2 linked regions of the Neurospora crassa OR74A genome follow. The protein of the gene in region 2 binds, or shares a complex with, the protein of the main gene of each other region. Links are inferred from orthologs where the notes say so. Each region holds a gene or a part of one and is shown on either strand. Other genes may lie near its edges. The genes, in order: NCU02935 and NCU03836.

Evidence for each region.
Region 1: NCU03836 (region 2) and NCU02935 share a complex: the UniProt entries of both Schizosaccharomyces pombe proteins name them as parts of the EKC/KEOPS complex. The link is inferred for Neurospora crassa OR74A from reciprocal best matches to the Schizosaccharomyces pombe genes kae1 and cgi121.

Annotation. Positions count from the first base shown.
Region 1 is NC_026501.1:8,636,585-8,648,129, reverse strand, and holds NCU02935 (cgi-121), read left to right. Parts: upstream 1-3,984; 5' UTR 3,985-4,071; intron 4,072-4,154; 5' UTR 4,155-4,628; intron 4,629-4,693; 5' UTR 4,694-4,810; coding exon 4,811-5,086; intron 5,087-5,254; coding exon 5,255-5,602; 3' UTR 5,603-5,937; downstream 5,938-11,545. Other genes in the region: NCU02934 (hypothetical protein), read right to left, coding at 1-2,550, 2,643-2,822; NCU02936 (proline oxidase), read right to left, coding at 6,312-7,964; NCU02937 (hypothetical protein), read right to left, coding at 9,055-9,245, 9,307-9,727; NCU02938 (hypothetical protein), read left to right, coding at 10,340-10,342, 10,408-10,824; NCU02939 (hypothetical protein), read right to left, coding at 11,174-11,238, 11,293-11,423, 11,485-11,545. UniProt on the Schizosaccharomyces pombe protein: Component of the EKC/KEOPS complex that is required for the formation of a threonylcarbamoyl group on adenosine at position 37 (t(6)A37) in tRNAs that read codons beginning with adenine.
Region 2 is NC_026505.1:2,564,401-2,575,878, reverse strand, and holds NCU03836 (O-sialoglycoprotein endopeptidase), read right to left. Parts: upstream 6,856-11,478; 5' UTR 6,583-6,855; intron 6,500-6,582; 5' UTR 6,329-6,499; coding exon 5,264-6,328; 3' UTR 4,983-5,263; downstream 1-4,982. Other genes in the region: NCU03839 (APF1), read left to right, coding at 120-1,298; NCU03838 (transcription elongation factor spt-4), read right to left, coding at 1,791-1,821, 1,912-2,162, 2,240-2,320; NCU03837 (Snf1 kinase complex beta-subunit Gal83), read left to right, coding at 3,319-4,142, 4,220-4,793, 4,862-4,909; NCU03835 (hypothetical protein), read right to left, coding at 7,001-7,064, 7,148-7,239, 7,332-7,648, 7,864-7,915; NCU03834 (histone acetyltransferase complex component Epl1), read right to left, coding at 9,169-10,020, 10,081-10,851, 11,022-11,168. UniProt on the Schizosaccharomyces pombe protein: Component of the EKC/KEOPS complex that is required for the formation of a threonylcarbamoyl group on adenosine at position 37 (t(6)A37) in tRNAs that read codons beginning with adenine.

The sequences.
Region 1 (11,545 bases), on a different chromosome or scaffold from region 2:
TCCCAACCCATCAGCTCCGTCTCCCGGTCCGTGGCCGGCTCCGCCGTTAACATGCGCATGCGAATGGTCGACCATTCCGGCCCCCGACACGTCACCCGGCCTGGTTGACCCCAGAGTTAGTAGCGCATTAGCGCTGTACCGCTCTTGGGAATCAGCCATGGCGGCCGCCCAGTCATGCCATGCATTGTTGTTGGGTGCATTGGAGGCGACTGATGCTACGGCAAATTGCGGGTGAACCTGTGGTCGCCATTCTTCCGTCCCGGTACCCGGTTGGCCTGTTGTGGAAACGTGCTGGGTGGCTTGAGAAGCGAAAGCTATTAAAGGGTTGATGGCGGAAGAGGTTTGGTCCATTGCTGCGGCAACGGTTTGCGGGGGTGCTGTTGATGAGGTTGGGGTGGCTGTTGCGTAGAGGTATTGCACACTGCCGCCGGAGGGGTCGTAGGCTGCTAGGTTAACGCCATTACTGGTTTGGTGGGCGTCGGCGCTGTTTTCATTCAGAGACATGGTTTGGTAGGGGGTTGCTGAGCCATCGTAGTACCCGGTTCCGTTTGTGCTGACGCTACTGCGGTGGTCATTGGGTGTGACCGAGTGACTGGACGCAATACCGTTGCTGTTGAGTGGTTGCTTAAACGGTAGGAGAGGCTGCTGCTGGAATGGTGATGTTGATTGTTGTTTGGCTATGGTCTGGTCGACTGACAGTCCATCCTTACGGCTCATGTCGCGTTCGATGCGGGTGATGGTCTGCTTGATAATCGTGTCCAGGGTGGTTGCTAGACGGTTTCCGGTACCTGTTAGTCGACCAATCTCGCTGATAATTTCGAGGCCCAAAACCATATCTGCCCTTAAAGTGGCCATCTCCATATGGGTGATCTCATGTCTCCTTTCCCAGTTTGCGACGAGAATCGTCAACGTTGAGGCGACGTATACCGACAACTGGTACCATGTTGTGTCCAGAGACTTCAGTTTCAACAGCTCCCCTACCACCTTCAATAGCTTCCGAGCTGTCTGCTCGCATATCCTTGTGTTCTCAGCACAGAACTTGGGGTCCTTTTCTAGACAAACCGACGGATGTCTAAGACAAAGCTTAAACTCGAGACTGATGGCCTGGGTATACAGTGCAAACACCAAGTCGGTCGGCTGACACTTTTCCACTCGCAGACAGTCGGGTAGTTCATTCGTCAGCTTGCGCATTCCGGCCTCAAGTTCGGCGACGGTATCGACATATTTCTTGGGATCTCGCCTCACGCTGTAGATGCTAGAATACATCTCCATGTACAAAGGAACAGCCTTGAAGCCGGCAAGCCCAATTTGATAGCGGCAATGACCAATCTTGGATGGGTCCAAGATGCCATCTTCTTCGAGATACTCGTCATCAATAGCAATTGGGAACTCAATGTCGAATTCCTCGAGTGTGATGGGCATTGGCCTGCCAAGTCGGCCGTTAAGGGTAATGATAATACCCAGGATGGACCACCACACCCTTTTGCGCAATTCGTTTTCAAGAGTTGTGCGCCCATTCGGTATCTTGTTGCTCCGATGGAAGTTGAGTTCAATGGCCTTCATCATGGCAAAGTTGGCAATGGTAAAGGAACATCCTGGTTTGGGAAAATTGCGGGTGTGAGACGCCAGCATGGCCAAAGCCTGGACCGCGGTAACCGTCTGAGAAACGGCAAGTTCGAAGAACTTACTCAAACACCAATGGTAGTGCTTGTTAGAAAGGTCATTGAGCTGCGCATGGTCCTCTGGCTTCTCGCGATGGTTCCTGATACCGTACTGGAAGTACATGCTTGATATCATCATGCGGACCAGAACGAGTTCGGGTACTGTCGCTTTAAAGGTCGGATCATCATAGATGCGAGTCAAGAGCTGCATAAACGAAGGCCTGTGGACTAGTGGCATGTACGGGTATATGGTGAGGAAGTACCACTCGGCATATGTAAAGGCGTCGTGTCTCGAGGGGAGGTCGCAATGTTCCATTGGCGGGTTTATCCTGACTAAGGACTGATAAAAGGCCGTGACCGATTTGTTATACAACGGTGATCCGATGGGAGTATTTGGCGAAGGCTCATCCATATCGGGGTCAGGATCGTCAAACGAAGTGATCTCAATGGTAGTTCCAAGAACCGAAAGGGTGGTGCCTTTAAATGTCACGCCTAGGTAGCTCTCTGTCGGCCTCGATTCCAAGAGCGAACATCTCGTATAGCGCCCTGGTGTGCTCTGTGACCCTCGCCTGCTTTTTCTATACCACACCGAGCCTTGTTGCTGCCATTCGCCTTGGGACACGGGATCGTGGATGGGATTCCCCATGGCATCCAGGGTGACACCCGGTGGGTGGGGGTTTCTATTCGCGTTTGACCCTTCCCACGGTCGGATTTCAATTTTATGGTCGGCCAACACTCTTTCGAGGTCCCTCACCCTGGCTTCGAGTTGTTGGGTATAGCCTCGACGTTCGGTACGGCCTGTTACACGGTCTGTTACAACGCATTCGATGTTTTGGCTCGCGCAATGGGAGCAGCCCGCAGGGGAGGCATCGCAGCGGATTTTTCGGACCTGGGGACGCACAGAAATTAGTATGTTACGGGAACGCGACGCCGGTTAGACGCGCAGCAGGCTGTCAGAGCGACAGGTCGGAAAATCAGTACCTTGCACCTGTCACAAGCCTGACCAGTCCGCGTGTATTGTGAGAGCTTGGTCTTGACAACACTCGAAAAGTCTTCTGTACTGCGCTCAAGACGGGGCAGCTTCATCTTGGGTTGTAGGCCATTGTCGAGAGGAGTGTCCCCGGCTTCGCTTGGCCGCTTTGGAGGACCGCCTGGGGGCATGATGTTTGAGTCTCCAATCTTGACCAGATCTGTAGGCGAGCGTGGGACGATTCGAGATGACGATTCGAAAGAATGATAGTAGTAACCGTTGTGGGCAGCGAATGGGTTGGTTTGTTGTCAATCGGGTGGTTTCTTGGAAACGGGTTATGCCGTGGAATTGCAGCGCAGTGAGCAAGCGAGCGGATGAGCGACGGCGCCGACGGACTTCAGCTGCCACGCTGAGTCGCTGGTCTGACTGTGGTCAGGGTAGTGGCGGTGGTGATGGCGGTGGTGGTGGTGGTTGTGGTGTGTCGTGAGAAGAGAGGGACGGGATGGAAAGGGACGGACGGGACGGATGTGCGATGGAGATTGCCGCGCGGTGGATATGGCGTGCCAATTAATATTGAACGATGACCGGGAACCTTGAAGCGAAGGATGGTTGGCGTAGGGAGGCACTGATGGCGCTGGATTCCTGGAGGGGAGGGGAGGGGAGGGGAGTGAGAGCGAGGGATGTCGGTTCCGAAAGCGTCAATCAAGGAATGGATGGATGTGTCCAGGGCGCCGGAATCGAGGAATTCAACTGAAGGGAATTAAAAGTTCACGGACTAGGGGGGGGGGGGGGGGGGGGGCGGCCGTCGATCGCTGATCAACCCAAGAACATTGAAAGAAAAGAAGGAACATGCTATCACCGGCCCATGATTGTTGCGACAAAAAGGCAATGAATTGGGAAATATGGCCCATTCAGGTCAAGGGCAATTCGTCCTCCTCGACGAATGAATCCGATTTCACTCGGGGCGGATCCGTTACGTTCTGCGAGTGTCCCGATTTGGCATGGCTGCATCTGCATGGAAGTCGAGTTCACGGATTTGGTCCAATTCCCAATCATTCCCAATGCAATCACGATCATCGGTGCATGGCAAAGGGAACATCCATGGCTGAGAGTATCCGAGCGTGACTTAAGCTGGGTGGAGTTTTTATTGTATGTTAACGGGATTGACCTTCGTCCGAAGTGAGCAGCCTGTTTCTGGGCATCTTTCTCAAAGCCCTCAAGACTGGCGCTCATCCAATAGAAAGCCGAACGCTCTCCTGTTTCCAGTACACCAAAAAAGTGGCTTTTCGTAGCAGGGCCGTATATCCTTCTGTGGTTTCTTCGACTACACTACTATCCGATATTTCCCATCTCTTCCCATCAACATCGACTGAGGTGGGGGTCGGGACTACAGGTGGTGGTCCCCCTTCCCAAGACAACAACCATCATGTCAAAGTCAAGGTACGCCGCGGCATCCGTGTATCCGTCGACAATGACATTCCCTAAAACACAGCATATTGCTGACGCTACCTGGCCGTCGCAAGATAATGGGAAGCGTACCTCTAGACAGTCCGAGACATGTGTTCATGTATCCGCTGTGGTTGCGTTATTGCGACCGAGAGCCCAGATTGTGAGAACCTCGACGGCTGCACGCGCGCCATGTTCCACTTTTTGGGCTGCCAGATGGAAGAAACTCAGACAATCGGAACAGCGACCCATCGGCAATGTGACAAGTTGATTCCCTGTTACGTAGTATATGACCCAATACATACAGTCAAACGTTAAAGGGGCTGACGTCCGGGCCTCTTGGAATTGACATGCTTGGCGGGGTCACTTGTGTAGGTATTGATCCCTGTCACCAGCGCGACGCGCCCCGGCGCCCGGGGATCTGCCCCGCCATGGAGATCCCGCCGATGGGCGGCAAGGATGCATTCGCCGTCGCATTCAACTTTTGAGTCTGTTTCCTTATCGCCAAATCAGAAAAAGTATCACTGGAAATTGCCCAAAAAAAGAGTACGGTACGGCACCCAAACACCTTCTCGACCTCAATCCAAACCAAATAATACTGACGTCGGCTTCTCAGCATAACGGACCGACACATGATTCAATAACACATCAATCAACCCGTCGCATTCCATCCATCTACCCCACCAGCCATCACCATCACGACCATTTACAACCGAGGACCACAACCGTCGCGATGGCGCTCGAAACCCTCCAAATCGAACACGTCCCCTCGGACCACCATGTCTACGCCGCCCTCTTCCGCGACGTCCAAAACGTCGACTTCCTCCAAGCCCAGCTCATCGGCAAGAACCCCGAGTTCGAGTACGCCTTCATCGACGCTTCAGTCATCATCTCCCGCACACACCTGTTCGCCGCCATCTTCCGCGCGCTCAACACCTTGACTGAGGGAACCCTTCAGACGCCCAACGTCCATTCCGATATTGTCATTGGGCTAAGTCCGACCAACAATGTTCGTCTTTCTATCCATCCATCCATCCATCCATGTCCTTCCTCTTTTGCGATAATCATAATCCACCTTCACTGCTTTTTTTTTTCTTTTTTTTTTTTTTTTTTTTTTTTTTTTGCTTTAAGTGAGCCAACCCATGAGCTAACAAAACAAAAAAAAAAAAAAAAACAGATCTCCGAATCCTACCGCCGCTACGGTCTAACCCCCTCCAAAACGCGCGACGTCCTGGTCATCAAAATCGTCTACCCCAAACTCAGCTCCGAAAACTCGACAATCACCAGCGAACAACAACCAACACCAGAAAGCATATGGCAACACCTGACTACTCACATTCAAGGCACGCCCGTACCGCTTACAAACGAGGAACTCGCCAAGTCGACGGATTGGGCAAAAGTGCGCAAGTATTACAAGCTGAATGGCGTGCCGGGCGTCGAGAGGATAGACAAGGCGGATGAGGAGGGGAGGCGGAAGGAGATGGAGGGGTTGGTTATTAGTGGGATTGCGCTGAGGGGGTTGTAGATGAGGCAAAGAAAGGATTGGGGGAGGAGGAGGAATACAAGCATAGGACAAGATAAAGGTCAAGACAAAAAGTCGATTGACAGATAAGAATGAAGGAACTGAAGATACCTCTAGAGGTTGGGGAATGACCTGAGACGGAATTGGGTTGTAGAGAAGCATAGACTTGGACATGGAGAGCTGCATGTTGAACTGACACCAGACCAAGATACTACTGACATCTTTACTGTGCAGCCGTGGCGAAAGTGTCTGAGCGATGCATACAACAACAGAGCAAAAGATGGAAAGAAAAGACAAAAGTAGTGGATGTCAGGATCGAAGCGGGAACATGGCCTAGGTGAATTATTGGCGGGATGCTACCATAGTGAATTGGCGCCATTCCAGGGCAAGATTTCAGGTGATTTCACAGGCATGTTAACAGAACGGTAAGTTGGTCTCATAAAGTTTTGATGTTGGAAACAATATTGTCATAGGACCTTTGAATGGGAAGACGGAAATCACGACGACTAGACCGGGATGCTTTCATTCATGACTTGAATATTTGTATCTGTATCTGTCAAGCAAAGTACCCACGCTCAGACCAAGGCCAAATCTACTAGGTAATCGATCCAAGATGCCAGGCAAGCAACCCTCGCAATGCGCCAAAAATAATGATCCCCAAAGGCCATAAAAAAATGACATTTCAGGTTCTTACACCCACTGGAGGGCGAGCTTAAGAAGAAACCCCAAATAGCCCCTTCACTCTCCTCCTAACCTCCCTTCCCATCGCCTCCCGTCCACTCCTCGTCCTCTGCACCGCATCCCGATTCTCATAAGCCCTCCGCAACAAATACTTCATGCACTCCCCCGTCGATCCCCACACCAGGTACTTGTACACCTGCGGCTTATTGACCATTTCACTTCCCTTCTCACTGCCCTTCTCACTTTCCTTCTCCGCCGCCATCTCCATTTCCTTGGGAGTCTCGTGCGGCCCAGCAACAAGCTCACAACTAACCTCGTCCGCCATTCCCTGCAGCTGGGCGAACGCCACCTGTTCATAGCCCAGCTTGGCCACGCCGCTGTCGAGAAGGGCCTTGCCCTTGAGTACCGATTCGCGGTTGTGCGTGGCTAGAACGACGCCCACGTCGGGGAAGTTGGTCGTCTCCTTTTCAGCAGATCCAGACTGGGGGACAGGAGGTTGCAAGGGGCCAGACCAGGTCTTGCGGAGCAAGGCTTCGGCAATCCCATCGTACTGGCCATCCGTGTCGGCCTTGGTGTCGCAGATGAGATATCTGGGATCAGCGCCCAAGTAAGCGCCGCGAACGAGTTTCACGCCGAGGGTGAACCCTTCGGACGCGGCGATGGCGAGGTGCTTAGAGAGAGTGGCAGGTGTGGATTTGAGGTAGGCTTGGTAAGTGCCGTAGACTACGGCGTTGCTTTTGTTGTAGCGGCGCATGTAGTCGAGCGTCCAGTCGTCGATACCAGGCTGGAGAGCATTTTGTTCGGCGTCGAAGAGGAGGCGGACGCCCCGCTCGGCGGCGAGGTTGCAGATTCCGTCGATGGCAGAACCTAGAGCCTCGGAGGGTGGGAGCTGTTTGGAAAGACTATAAAGGGCCTGGCGGCCGGCGCCGGTGAATTTGAGAGCTACGAAGTCGCCGGGAGAGGCAAGGCGGACGGTCTCCATGGTTCCTTCGGCCCAAGGGTTGATTTCCGTGCGAATGCACTCCTCCGCAGCGGCGCCACCCTCGGCCGCGCAGGAGGCGAGATCTTTGGTCTCCGAATCAGTAAGGACCACCTCACGGGCGTAGCCGAGGATGACACCACTGAAACCGATTTGCTTGAGGGAGTCGATGGTTTGGCGGACCTCGGCCGGATTCTCACCGGCGCAGAATTGGGCGTAGAAGGTCTTCTTGAGGAATGCGCGGAGGAGAGGGTTTCGGTCGGGGTTAAGAACTGGGTTTGTGGTATGGGCTAGGACGGACATGACAGCTAGTGAAGGCGGTAGGAGGAAGGGCGAGGAGGAAACGGTGGTGGTCATCCATGATCGGAGGACGTTTGTTAGTGGCAGTACTGCCAATGGCGAAGGTCCCGGTGTCTTGGGCATCTCACTGGACTGAGACCCGCCTGTTGCTGGTAATGATGATGCGTTGTTGATGGTTAGGTGGTCGGTAGGCTTAGGTCGGTTGGTGGAGGAGTGTATAAGTCGGGTGGCATATGTTCTCCCGACGCCGTTGATACGCCCGACCATTAAAATTGAATGTGAGACATGATGACGTGAGATAGAAGCCGCGGCAGGTCCAAGGGCCGAAGCAATGGTTCTTGCCCGAGCATGTCCTACGTTGCAAACCAACTGCCTGCTGGCCGGTGATGTTGAAGTAGGGAACATATTGCAGTGTGTGATGGGGGTGCCGGGATGAGACCAAATAAAGACAGGTCAACACCGTACAAACACAAAGGATGATGAAGCAGGTACCGAGGGAAACAGAGACGGGGTAATGACTGTGGCATATATAGATGCAGCTTGATTCATGACAATCAACCACACCACAGACCTTCGTCTCATCTTTATCTCCGGCTCGCCCCTGGGAGGCCGGGACCGCTAGCAAATCGAACGTACCAGATCCATCCCCTCCGAGTACACTAGCGCAGCGTGGGACGGGCAGAAGACAAGTTCAGGCCGACTTGCTACACTACTATCTGGGATAAACCCTCATCGATCCTCCTTTGTCAAGGTTTCGTTGACGCGGGTGATGCTGCGGCGGGATGGTACCTGATGCAGCCATTGGCATCAATTGCGCTTGCTTCTTATCGGGCGTCACGTGGCCGTCCCCCAAGGCCGCCAGTAGCCGCGATCTGCTGGGGGGTGATCGGAGAGGAGATTGGGCTGAGTGACGTGCCCCCTTTGATGCCCGCTTGATGAATGGCCAACAATTGGTTCTTCCCAGCCCTGTCTCGCCAATGGAAGGATGCTGAAATAACAGTTCCAATCCAAGCATTCCAGAGCTTTCCTAGATATACCCACCTATCAGCTGATACCTTTACCCCTAGTGTAGGCCGCCGGGTCTTCGAATTCCAATGCCGATGTTGGAAAGCTTCGATACGTACTGGCCAATAATGGTGACTTGTGCGCATACCTCGGCGAAAGAACGCCGATGTGTGTCTAGACTCTACTCTATAGAATCCGATGCGGCTGAGCGGGCGCCATGTTGGATTCCCACAATGCTTGGGCATTTCGTGCAGAATTGAGGGTCTTGAGTTTGTCATAGAAATGGACTAGTAAACCGACTGCCCGATAAGTTGCAGGGGTTGTGCTGTTTCGACCTTGAATAACCGTTGCGGAGCATTTGGGACTTCCGAAATCGGCTGTGATGGTAACACTGAAGAGCAACTAACCAACCTTGTGTTTTTGTATCTCTTCACCGATCGGATTGGGATGCACCTTTGAGTGGGCAAGGGGGATTGGACTTGTATCGTCTTTAAATCACCCGCTCCTTCTGGTTTTCGTCCGCGGTATTCTTAAAGCCGCCAACGCGGCGCTTGAGGAATTCGACATATCCGATGGGTCGACCTCTTGCGATGCCAGCTACATCCTGCAAGCCTCCGTAAGCGAGACCTACGACCAGGGCAGTTTTGGTTGTTCGGGCCGCCATGGGCAAAGAGAAACGATCTATATGGGAAAGTCATGATTAGCGTTTGATGCGCAAGATCTAGGACAGACAATCACGTACTCCATAGACTGAAGGCTCCCGCAACAGTCACACAGGCGGTTACAGTATTGAAGATGTCGGCCGTCCCGCGATAGGCGTCAAACATGTGCTCGATGCCAAACATGGCTGTTGTCCAGAAGCAAATCTTGGCTCCCATCCTGGCACCCTCCTTGGCGCCGCCCCAGATTGAGTTGTAGTTCTTGCTCTTGTGATAAAAGTACCATCCCATCTTGGTGGTCGGCAGCTTATGAGCGTGTTCGGCGCGAAAGCGCATACCGGCTGTCTTGATGCCTTGGCTCATTCCGAGTGTGAAGCCAATGAGCAGAGCCGTGCTCGACGCAAGGGGGATTCGCACGGCATCCGGAATGGAAAGACGACATTTGGTAACGTATTCGGGGACGGGCTCTGGCGCGGCGGCCTCGGTTTCTTTGGTGGTTGACATGTCGACCAGTATCTATCGAATGTCGTATCGCAGTCTCCTGTCGTGTTGTGCTTGTCGGAATCCTCAGGTAATGGAAGTTGTGGAGTTCAATCGGGGCAGCTCGAGCCGATGTAAAGACGCGGGTCAAGGTGTCTGCAGCTGTTCGCTGGCGATCCACCGTGTTGGACAGTGAAAGACAACTTGGATCAGTGACACTGGAAACAACTTCAGTTGAAATCTCCCCCGAAAGTCCAGGTTGACGAGACGGGGACCTAACAGCTTCCACTTGGTAGGCTGCGTGCCTGCATGTGGATATCAGAGATTGGAGATGGCCCGAGCTCCCTTCTATGTATGTAGCTGCCGCCCCCTCCAAAACGCGGAGAAAGCGGGTCGGATCGCGTCTGCAGTCTCAGTGTCTCCAACCTGGGCCACCCGACCAACGTCATCACAGCCCAACTCCACTGTCCATCCCTTGTTGCAGCTTCCACTTCCACATGCCAGGAACAGACTGACCCCAACTTTTTAGATCTCAGCCTAGCGAAATCTTGACAAAGGGTTTCTACTTCTTTCTTCTGTACACTCAACATATTCCCTCAAAAAAGACCCCATTACCGTCATAGTTGAAAAGTTACAATGGTAAAAAAAACCGCCATCTCCGTCGGGCTTCTCTCCAACTTTGCTGACCATCACCGTCGTCCCAGCCTCGCACCACCAACAACCCGGTCGATGACCCCCGCATCACCCTTCGCCTCAAATGCGGTATCCATACAATCTTCCTCTTCGTTATGCTAGATTGGACCTTTGCCAAGGTGTCCGAAGAGCTACTCATGATCCTCCATGACCGCTACCCCAACGGTCTTACATTCAGCGTCGACGCCGAACCGGTCCCTCTCCCCGAAGGCGATGTCAAAATCGTTTATGGAATCCCTAGGCACCCTAATGGGGACTTAAGCCACGGGTGGAAGAAGCTGAAGGTGGAAGACGAGGACACGGTAGAATCATCCAAGCTTGCGGATGTAAGCGCTGTGGCCTTTGCGCTGGTTGATCCTGAGTCGTATGGCAATGTGACGTTTGATGTCACTGTTCCGCGGTTGGACGACTATGATGAAGAGTACTGAGTCATGGGAGGGAACATAACGGCGTTTGCGTGGCGCATTGGTTTAGGTTCAGGCTGCATGGCGGCAAGGTCGGCGTTCGGGTTAAAGATATTGAGCAAAAATGAAAAGGCGCTTTGGTTATGGGAAAAGGATACATCATACGTCTACCTGACATGTATACCACTGGCTTCTACATCGTTATCTGAAAAGTCCATTGTAAAACATCCTCCCACTTTCCCCTACCCTTTTCTTAAAAAAAAAAAATCGAATTAGTCCGCCTTTCCCACTATCCAAACAAGACCTAAAAGCCAGAACTCTTGGTGGCTCTAAACTCCACAGACACCCCAGCCCACCACATACTTCCCTCCCATCAGGCCGGTACCGCAACGTGACCGAGGCAACTGAGCAAACCATGAAAATTGCTGATAATACCATCTAAGACCTCCTTGTCAGTAACATCTCAAAGCCAAACTGGGAATTTTTGCTTACCAAGATTTATGTAGGTGTCTCCCCACTTCTCGCCATCATAACAGCTGCAGTGAAGCCATGTAAACATACCCAACTTCCCTTTGGGGTCGGGACTGAGCCAGCAATCACCGCAGGTATTACCAAACCATCCACTGACGGATTGCTCGTCAGTTACCTGTTGTTGATCGAAAGGTAAAAACCAAGAAAACTTACTTGTCTTGCATGATCAGATAACCATCGACGTTGGCGATGCACTGTCCGAGATATTGTCGTG
Region 2 (11,478 bases):
CGCCGCATCGTCCTGTACTGTACCGAGCGACACCCTCCGAAAACAAAACACATACAACCAATCACCTCCCCCACCCGCCCCGACTCGCGCGCAGCGGAGTCCGTAATTACCCATTCACGATGCCCAAAGCAGAAGTCGGCTCCGCCAAATATCTGGCCAACAAGATGAAATCCCGCGGCCTCAACCGGCTGCGCTGGTACTGCCAACTGTGCGAGAAATCCTGCCGCGACGAGAACGGGTACAAGATGCACTGCCAGTCGCCCTCGCACACGGCCAAAGCGCTCGAGGCGGGCGCCAACTTCAAGGGCGTGCAAGACACCTTTTCCGACCAGTTCCTCAAGGATTTCATCGCGCAGCTGAAGACCAGCCATGGCGAGAAGGAGATCCACATCAATAAATTTTACCAGGAGGTGATTGCGCGCAAGGACCACGTGCATCTCAACGCGACCAAGTGGCATTCCCTCACAGAGTTTGCAAAGTTTTTGGGCAGGGAAGGGTTGTGTAGGGTGGAGGAGAAGGAGGGGGAGGGGTTGTTTGTGGCGTGGATTGATGATTCTCCCGAGGCGATGGAGAGGAGGGAGAAGGTCAGGAGGAAGGAGATGATGGATAAGGGGGATGAGGAGAGGGAGCAAAGGGCTTTGAGGGAGCAAATTAAGAGAGCGCAAAAGGATGCCGAGGCGAGGGGGGTTAGCTTTGATGCGGAGGAGGAGGAGAGGAAGGAGTTGAAGAGGAGGGAGGGGGAGAAGATTAAGTTGAGTTTTGGAAAATCGGCCACAACAAAGAAAGAGGAGCCCGGGTCGGGGTCGGGTGAGGGTGAGAAGGGTTCGACATCGGCGGCGGCAATGCCAACACCGGGTGCTGGGGACGGATCGGTTCCTCCTGCTGCGGAGGAGAAGAAGGATACCGTGACGCCACCTTCGACAATAACGAAGACGACGACGGACGGTGTAAGCTCTGAGCAAGCAAAGGTGGAAGCAAGTTCAAAGGGCGAAGAGGCCACTGCCAAGACGACGGCAGAGGAAAGCAAACCCGCGGTTGACTCGACTGCTGGTCCTGCTGGTCCTGCTGCTGCCGCTGCTCCCGCCACGAAGCCGGTATCTATGAAGTTCGGCATGAAGCCCCAACCGAAGAACGTCTTCAAGAATGCGTTTGCTGGGGCTCCCAAGAAGGTTATGGCTGCTCCGCCCAAGAAGATGAGCGAGGCCGAGAGGATAATGAAGGAGGAGTTGGAGCGCAAGAGGGCTCGCGAGGAGAAGGGTGGGAACTTTCCCAACAAGAAGCCACGCTTCCAGTTTTAACATACTGTGGAGTCTCACGTGGGTAACTGGTCAAAGGTTATGCTATCTCCGGGTTTGGCAATATTTCGGTACATGTTATAGGGGCGTTTTCGGCGTGATGGGAAATGTTTAAAAAAAAGATACCATATTGCATTGGGGTTTTCGTAAAAGGGATCCGTAGCTGGATGAATAATCTTCCATATAGGTTAGGTAGTGATAAACTCATTTGTATGATTGTTGTATTTCGCTGCAGTGTGTAATTATAGCCCTGGGTTGATCATGCAAAACCCAAAAAATGGCCACTATCCTGCTGTCTAGACCACGCCCTTTAAACCAGCCTTAACGCCTTGAACTCCTGTTGCCTTCCCTTTAACAGGCATTCCGCATTCCGCTCCTGGGTTGTCTGTGAACGATCTATTATCGGTCCCTCTTCCTTCTTGCTTGTCGGTTCTCTTTCCTGCTTTCTTATCCGCCCTATTCCGTCTTGTTTTCTTGCACCGCAGCTTCGAGTTTCTAGTCCGCTTCCGTCGCACTGCCATCGCGCCTGCTCCAAGTTAGTTTCTGGCTGTGCCCCGAAAACCCCACGATCATAGCCTGCTTCGCCAGACCACACGAGTGTAAGCAGGAAACTTACGGGATATACTGAATGCCGTCATCCTCCAACGTGGTGCGCACGTCATCCGGCAACTGGCCCGACACCTTGGTCGCGTATACACCCTTCACATAACCGTCCAGCCTCTGCCACTTCGCCACCCACGACTTCTGCGGGTTGGCAATGGTGATGATTCCTTCAAAGACTTGCGACGTGCAGCTGTCGATCTGATCCGGCGAGCCCTGGAGATGGAGGAAGTCTTCGCAGTTGGGGCATCCTTCGTCACGGAAGCGCTATGACAAAAACAAAAAAGGTCAGAAACTTGTCGGTCATAGAGTGACTAGAAACGAGGAAGGGCAGCTCGACTTACAGCATAGGTCATGACGATAGAGCAGACCATGCAGGCACGAAGGTAGCGCTGCTGGCCGGGGGCAACGTAGTTCTCCGACATTTTTGGGAGATGTGTAGGGATGGCGATGTTACTGGTAACTTTGGGGGCGGAAACCGATAACTCACTCGTCTACGAATAGCTGAGCGAGTGAATGAATAACTGGAAAAGGACACTTGACGAAGGAGGGTGATGTTCTTTAGAGGAATGCATGTGAACATCGATAAGTTGTTCTCTGGAAAGAAGATCGGCCGCCTCTCTTGCCTGCCGCGTCGCGCCAGCGCAAGCTCCAGGTCTCACAGCGGGCCAGGAGTTGACATGCAAGGGGCGCACGGTCCAGGAGCTAGAGAAGCAGGAGAGAATGTGGGAAAGGTGGGGGCCGAAGTGGAAGCTGGGGCCGATGCCTGGAGGTGGACAGTGGAGACACTGCCGTGCAGTTGGGCTGGGCGCCGTCTCACACTCATCCACAGTTCAACTCTGTTCGCCGAGTCCGGGGCGTTGCATCCGAGTTCCATTCAGTTGCCAGTGGTCGCCCGCTTCTTATCGAGCAACCAGGTGGATGGCAGCTGTGCTTTTTGGCCCAAGGGAGGACAGTCAACTGCTGCAGTGATACTCTGATAACTGAACTGAGCTCTCTACCTACCCGTCATTCTCTCGACTTCCACTTCTTCCACTTGTTTCGCGCATCCTCGATTCGACACGACTCGAATCATCACATCTTCCAGTTTGCTGCGATATTGCCTGCTCCAACTCTATTACGACACGACACCTGACAACGTCGTTCGAATTCCCAAAAACCACACAACCACAGCCACGACCAGCGCTGGCGTAGCATGCAAAGCCCCTCGACTGTCAAACCACCTTCTATCCGAACTCGGCCAATTACCCCGGAGAGTGGAAGATGAATTGATTGCACCCGGTGGACGCATTGTTGAACAGGTGTAGCAGTAACAGCAGCAGACCGCGGTAGCAGCGAACCACCTGTGACGACCCCGTTCGACCGACCCGACCACCACGGCGACCCCATCCCGTCATCAGCGCCAGCGATCGAGCTAGGGAAAATGGGGAACAACCCCTCCACCTCCAGAGACTCCAAGACCCCGAATCCGCAATCCTCCTCCTCCTCCTCTCAATCGCAGTCTCAGCACCAGTCGCTGGCTTCCATCCAAAATGACTCTGCCAGAGCAGTGAAGCGCGATACCAAGCACCCTATACCGGTCCCAAATCAGCGAGTCGCTGCCCCTCCTGAGCCCTCCTTGACCCAGGCCCAGGGCACCGCCGTCCAGCCGCCCTCAACCACCGCTCGTCCCAAGTCGCTGCACTCGCGAATGCCACCTTCTCAGAGCGGCTCGCCGGGCTCGTCGGTGCCTACCAGCTCTGCCACCCCCACCAAACCTGTCGAAGTAAGACAGCTGAGACCCGAAGACAGTCATGAGCCCGCGAAACCTGTAGCCGTGCCCACACCCTGCCACGCCTCGTCGTGCTCACCTAGGTCGCCGGTGCGATCACCGCTATCAGAGAGATCGGATGCCTTTGAGACTGCGGCTATGCAGCTGAGCAGTCTGCAAGATGTCTCGTACCTGACCAGGCCGCCGCGACTACCTCTGCCGATCGAGGAAGAGGTCCACACACCCGGATCGCCTATCATTGCCCCGACCGACATTGGGGTCCCACTCGAGGATGCCGACACTTTCACCGCGCTCACCAGACGCTCTTCCAACTTGAGTAACAGCTCAACTCTGGACGAAGAAGACACGGAGGAGCTACGGGTGGACAAGACTAGACCGACTGTCCCCACCAGGCTCGAATGGCTCCGTGGCGGCGAGAAGGTTTACGTGACAGGCACCATCTTCCAATGGAACAGGAAGACACGATTACACCCGGTGTAAGTACTTTCTACATCCCGGCCACTTTCGCTCTCAATACGGATGGGGCCTTGCTGACACCGCTACTCGCCAACAGTGAGGGCCGACCGGGTGTATTCGCTGCTATTATCAATATCCTGCCGGGCACACATCACGTTCGCTTTCTGGTTGACGGGCAAATGCAGACCTCGCCAGACTTGCCGACCACGGTAGACTTTGGCAACAACCTGGTCAACTACATCGAGGTCAGCCCTGATGATGTGGGGCGCACCGCTGCCCAGGCAGCTGCTGCAAGCGCCGCCAAGGATTCCCAGCAACCTACGGAGCCCAAAACCTCCGCGTCCGAGACGGAGGAAAGCAAGGCACCTAGGGACCGACCTGTCCCTCCGGCGGAGCTGTTCGAGAACAAGATCCCGCAATATCTACTCGACTTCGACGCACCCGAGGAAAGTCCACCTTACCTGAGTGCTGTCAACGCCATCGAGAAACTCCCAACGCCGCCTGCGCTTCCTGGCTTCCTCGGCAAGCCCATCCTCAACGCGGCCACCTTGATCAAGGATGACAACAGCGTTCTGAACATGCCCAACCATACCGTTCTTAACCATCTAGCTACTAGCAGTATTAAGAATAATATTCTGGCTGTGTCGGCCACGACGAGATACAAGAACAAGGTTCGTCTCCCCGTATTTCGTAGCTGCATCTTTTTGCACGTAGTCGTTGATGCTAACGGACTGTACAGTATGTGACGACAATCATGTACAAGCCAACAACGACAGAGGGCATCTGAGTTTGGAATGCTAGTAGTCAGAGCTGGGTACAGTTGGCTGGTGGCTACCACTACTAGACGAACAGCGCAAGTCATGAGTAGAATAGCGGTGCATGATGAACCGCCCAGTATGACCTATTCTAGATATGTCTACAAGTAATGTCTATAGGACGCTGTAGCGATGACGAGGACACTTTATGGAAGCGGGCGCAAATTGTTGTCGGCAAACTGTCCATGGGCATCCTGCTCCATTAAGGGGGCACTAAGGGACAACAAGAGGCGCATATAGAGTGGCTGCCGTGGATAGAGTAAAGGTTATGGGATTTGGGGGTATCGTCGTAATGGTCATCTTCGTCTTCGTTTCCTTCCTTGTCATTAGTCCCTCCACTTGACGAAGACTTCGTCGGTTCTGAAGCGTTGTGTACATGTGCTTTCATCAAGCGGCGTCCGGAAGCCCGTCTCGTAGGCCAATAGACCAGCATGAGCAATCATGATGCCGTTGTCGATGCAGAACCGCTCGTCGGTGGCGTAGACACTTCCGCCTCGCTCCGCTGCCATCGCGCCCATCATCTCCTGTAGCCGCTCGTTGCAACCGACACCGCCAACAATAAGAACCTGGTTGCTACCGACGTGCGCCATAGCCCGCTCGGTGATCTCGACAAGCATGGCAAATACCGTTTCCTGCAAGCTGAAGCACAGATCTGCGGGTGTAAACGGTTCGCCGTCGGGGCCCGGCTCGCCCGCCTTCATCTGCGCCGCCAAGTCATCTGCCCGCCCCAGGATTCCGCTGAACGAGCAATCCATTCCCTTGACCGCATACGGCAAGTCCAACAAGACTCGCCCACCTTGCTTGGCCAGCTGCTCAATATTGTACCCGGGCGCCGGGTCGTTGCTGATCTCCAGCGTGCGCGCGAACCGGTCCAGGCAATTACCCACTGCAATATCCAGCGTCTCGCCAAAGATACGGTACCGCTGCTCCGCGTACGCAATCACCTGCGTATTACCCCCGCTCACGTACAGCACCACCGGGTTCGACGCCCCCGTTATCGCCCGCCCCATCTCGATATGCCCGACACAGTGGTTCACGCCCACCAATTCTTTACCCCACAGCAGCGCGAGTGTGCGGGCGCCCACGGCCACCGACGTTAGGGGCCCGCCCATCCCGGGCCCCTTGGTGTAGCAGATGCAGTCGATTTCCGAGATGGAGACCCCCGACAAGGCGAGCGCCTTCTTGGCTACACGCACAAAGTAGGCACGGTGGTGTCGGGCTGTGTCCTTGGGAAGGAAACCGGTGCCGGGAGGAGAGACGAAGGTGTCGCGCACGTTGGACAGGACAAGGGCTTCGCCGGTGATGGGGTCGTGCGCAATGATGCCGATGCCGAGCTTGTTGGCGGAGCCTTCGCATCCGAGAGCGATGCGGCGGCCTTTGGCGTCGGGCATTGTTGGCTGTTGGGGCTTTGTTGGATAGAGCGAGGGAGGGAGAGGGTTTCGGTTACTTGGTGAATCGGGAGCCGGTTGCTTCGTATCAGATAACTCGCAAGGATATTTCGTTGGGGATGTTTATCGAGGACCTTGATATCCTTTGGTTGTTGATAGGCGTCGCGTCGCGTACTGAATAGGATGGATGGATGGATGTTGTCAGTGCCACATCCAATGCCAGATGTCAGATGGAGAAAGTGATAATGGAGGGGCACCTTTTTAGAGTGGGGAAAATTTCGTCGCGTCTGTGAATACCTAGGCTAGGCGCGCCGTAGTGATCAAGGTGACGAAACTCGAGATCGAGATGAAAGAGGATGTACATACTTATTCCCCCAGCGGGCCGGTATCCCGTCTCCTAAAACCGGTCGACATGTTCACTACTTGTAACGATGCTTTAAAGCCATTCTCGCCCGTTGTTCTTCTCAAAACAAGGGAACGGCCTCGCCATGGGAATCAGCAATGGGATTTCGTCAGAGCCTTCCATGGAGTCGATGAGGGGTTCAATGAAATGTGGGTCCCCGCAGCCGCTTGTGCACAGTCGAGTGGGACCTTTATGTTGCTTTGGATGCGCAATGCAATGTTATGTAAGGCAGGCACGTAGCGTGGCTCGTGCGCTAGTAGTAGCAACGATTTCTATCCACATATAGCCGCAACGGCGCAAACTGTGACCATGGATGCATGAGTTGTGTAAAAGACACTAGAAGTTTGATTATTTCTAGCTTTTTCGCCATGAGCTGATCCAACAGTTCCATTGCAACAAATATGTGCAGATGAGCTTACGTGATTTGACTTGCTCTGTGGAAGTGCAAAAAGGCTCCGAGCAGTTCGGGGTCTGCCGAGCCTGGGCTTGGGGCTCTCTGCACGGGACCCCACTGCACCGAGAATCAATTCTCCCAGCCAAGCGAGAGTCCGCAGCCGTCCAACCATCTTCCATCCTCCGAGCCTGTATCACCCAACACCTCACCTCGTTGCCGCCAAACCCAAACCTCCCAACCGCACGGCCAGACCTGCCTCTTTCAACAGCCCAGCCGACTTCTTCCTTGTCTTCACCATCCTTTGCCTGCCATTTCTTCGGCAGAACATGGCCGGGCTGCTTCTTGTTCGGTTCTTGCAAGCTTTCGAGCTCACGGGGCCGTCTGGGCCGGATTGGAGGCCGTGAATTCAGCACCGCCCCAAGTCTATGGGGATGGAGATACCCATATTCCCTCTTGAGGTGTGTTTTCCTCGTTCGTCTGACTTCAGAATGCTGCTTTGGCCATCTTTTTGTCTCGCACAACCCGTCTGATGTGGGCTTGATATGTCCGGTACCGTTGTGGGTGAACCTAGGCTGACCAGAACTCTGCACCACAGGACCACCCACCACCCATGGAAAGCTGTTCACTCGACACCTCCATTCTGTCTTCCACCTTCTTTGGACATCGCTTCTTCTTCCGCCTTTCCAAGTCTTTGGGAAATGCTGTTGTGGGCTGCTGGCTTCATGGTTCAAAATCACGAACCTCGCCACCAAGTCAGCAAAGCTGGCCTCCAGTCAGCCAGCCAGCCAACCATTGCTGCTCGGTGATCCCACTCTAGAGCGCCCTCGAACTCTCCTGCTCGAGTTTTCACCAACGTCAAAATCGCGGATTACCAGATCGGAATGTCCCTTTTTGCAAGGCATCTTCGGTTCCGGAAAACCGGCGATCAGCAGTTCTGCCAGAAGCCAGGGTCCTGCACCAAAAGGAGCAGCGGTCTCGACTCCGAAGCCTGGCAACGGAAGACTCGACGTCCAAGCCAGCATCGATATCGTAACGACCGGTCAATTTCTCTCTGCTCGAGTTTTCTCTTTCTCAGCTTTTTTTCCACCTACGTACCTAGCGAGACCTCTTTCTTTGAGGCGTCCCCACTCTTTTATCACCAAGCACGCTGCACGGTCGCTCCGAAAGCCAAAGGGGCGACCCCCGTCTCTACGCTAAGCAGCGACCCGGTCTACCAGGGGCGCGAGGGAACACCTTTTTCTCTTTCTCGACACTTTTGTCGTCCTCCCAACTTCCTGTCTTCTTGTGAAGCGTCCTGTGTCGGACCGCAGCTCGATTGCTGGTTTCCTATTGGCCCACCCGGTTCGCAAATTCTCGCACACCTCCGACCAATTCGCACATCGGCCCAGGGCAGCACCGTGTGTTACCTAAGCCCAAATGTGGCACATGCATACGCTCGCAGCACTTGTCTCGGGGCTGCCGATGACCAAACGCTCGGAACATCTCTGAGATCATTCCTGCTTTCCCCTGGGCAACAACCTCGCGGACGCACCCGGTCTATAAGGCTTCGTTCGCCCTCCAGGCTTTCCAGAAGCGAAGATGCCTTGACAGACATCGAGACCAGCCTCCACGCTTGATGGCCATAGCCACTTTCGTGGTTCAGTCACACTGCACAATACAACACCGCGTGAAGCAACTGATGGGAGCCAGAAGTGGTATTTTACTGCTTTGGTATCTCATTACTGTTGTCGCTGCACAGCTTCTCGCGTGTCTCAGCTATCCGCCGCCATCTACACGATATCGGTACGACTACTTGTTTACATATATACATGAGCCGTTCCCCACTTCGCCAAACCTACGCAAAAGCCGCAACCCAAACGCCTCGCCCCGGCCAGATCCTTCTCTTTAGCCCTGGCCCCATATCGCTAAATGCATCAATCGAGAGTTGAGGGGTATACACAGCAGCGGTCTTCCGAAGTTTATTCGGCTGCTCGACCACCAGCCCGCGAAAAAAGCCAAACGATATCTAAAAAAGATGACAACACAACACTCCTACAAACGCCAATTTTATGACACCGGTTGAGCCTGGGGCTGCGGTTGCGGCTGTGGCTGTGCTACTGGTTGTTGTGGTTGAGGTAGAGGGAGAGATTGTGATTGATTTGGTTGAGGTTGTGATTGCGGTTGTGGTTGTCCCGGAGCAAAAGAAGATTGGGCAAGTTGTTGTGGGACGGCGCCCGGAGGGATGAACTGCCGGTTGATAACCGGTGGGGGAGGTCTTGTGACCGTCTGGAGTGGTATTGAAGCACGGTACCTCAATGCCTTTGTATCAAAGGGGTCCAGCATATACACCGGCGCGTCGTCCTCGTCATCAGAGGACTGATCATACTTCCAGCGATCGGACTGTTCTTCACTGAGGTCTCGGGCTGGACTAGGTAAACCACGACGGTCGATCCACAACCTGTTCAACCGGCCGATACGACGACGATATGAGGGTGGATGCGCCAATGATTGTTCGTCCTGGGCAACGCCCCTGAATTTTACTGGTGGTGGTGGGTTGGGTTTGGGCTTATCAAGATCCATCGGGGTGGGCTCATCCATGGATCCTGAGGATGCAGACGCTGGTGGCGTCATGAGATACTGCGTCTTGGCAGGTCTGAAGCCCAAATCTTGTCTTGGGCCCTGAACGGGAGACAGCGGCTTGCCAGTGAGGTCGACATAGTTCTTGTTCCAGTCGATGTGGTTCTGAATCTTCTTCTCGATCTCGATGATGAGCTCCGCATTCTTCTCGGCAAGGCGATCTGAGAGTTGGACAAGATCTGACTCTGCGGGACGGCCATCGGGGCGCACAGGCATACGGATCTGGGGGGGTGGAGGGGGTCTTTGAGCTGAGGGTGCCTCCGGAGCCTTCCTCTTTTGCGGCTGTTGTGAAGCGTTAGCGTTGGCTGATGTAAGTCTTGCACGTCTTGCCGTTTGACTAACCTTTTGGTTTACTAGATCCTCGTCGCCCGTCCTGATGCCGAGTCGGAGTTTTTGCTCCTTGATGATGGCTCGTTGATCGAAGATGGCTCGCTCTACCTTGAGCATATCTGCCTTGAGCAATTCCCGGTTGTGGGCTGCCAGGATGAGTTGACGACCTTCCTCCAGCTCCTTCCGCAGCCGCTTGAGTTTGTCCGCACTCTGGACATCTCTTGCCCTCGTTTTGCGAGTTTGACGAATCTCTCTTCGGCGAAAGCAGACGTAGGGATCAAGCTCGTCGCTTTCCGCATGTGTCTCGAATTTCAGTGTAGGGTTGAGCGGTCGGTTTTTGCTGATTTCGCGGCGCGACTTCCAGTACTCATATATCTGCTTGGCATGAACCATGACTTTTGTGCTGTCTAATGGCTCCAGTCCTCGCAACATCTCCTGATACGACGGCACTGTCTGGTCTATGGCCGAGAACGGCGTTATGTTCGCCGCCATGTCCTCATACACGTCCATGATCCTCTCGAAATCATCTTCGGAGAGACGAGCAGACGGGGTCAGTTTCATGTTGTAGGACTTGAGGAACGTCTCATCGTCCTCGGTCATGTCATACAAGCAACTGATGCATTCTTCTACCGTTTGGGAAAAACGGATATACGTGGATGTCTTGGCCACCTTTTGAGGGTAGAACTGGTCGTAATCCAGTTCACTCTGCTGTGGAGGGGGGACAGGAATCTCCTGGTCGGCGGCGACTCCTGCCCCCTTGAGCACAGCTTGAAGATGGTATTCCTAGTTACAGAAGGGGTAAGGTCAGCACCGGTGACATGCATGGCTGTGTGCATGGAAGGTAGGTAAGGTGAGTTGGTGATGGAGGCGTGATGGAGGCGCGGCAGACGGGTGGCACGTGCACGTGCACGTGACCCCGGTCGCGATCAATCGGACATAGGTGTTGAACTCACATTTTCCTCGGCCTGTTCGACACCGGTGGCTATTTGGTTTTCGGAAGTGAGTGATTCATACTCAGAGGCTTCAATTTGATCCTCCCTGAGCACCGCAAGTTGTGTTTTGACACTCAGTTTCTTGTACCGAACCTTGCGGGTCGCCATGGTGAAGGTGTGGGCAATTGCGGCAGAAAGGCCTGGGGAAACCCCGACGAAATTTTTTTTTATCTCATGCGGGATTGCATGCGAAATCGAACCGTCGAGTTTTTTGATGGAAAACTCGCGTCGTGGGTGATATTTTGATGGGCAAAATCTGGTCCCTTGATGGAGTGTCGTTGAGGTTTCGGCGCAGATTTTGCTGTTTTGGCGGCGGATTCGACGGCCAATGCACGGTCTTGGCGATTGGCTGGGCTTCTGCTCTTGCGAAGCCTGAATGGCGGGGGGAGGGGTTGAATGGGGTGGTTTTGGGCGAAGT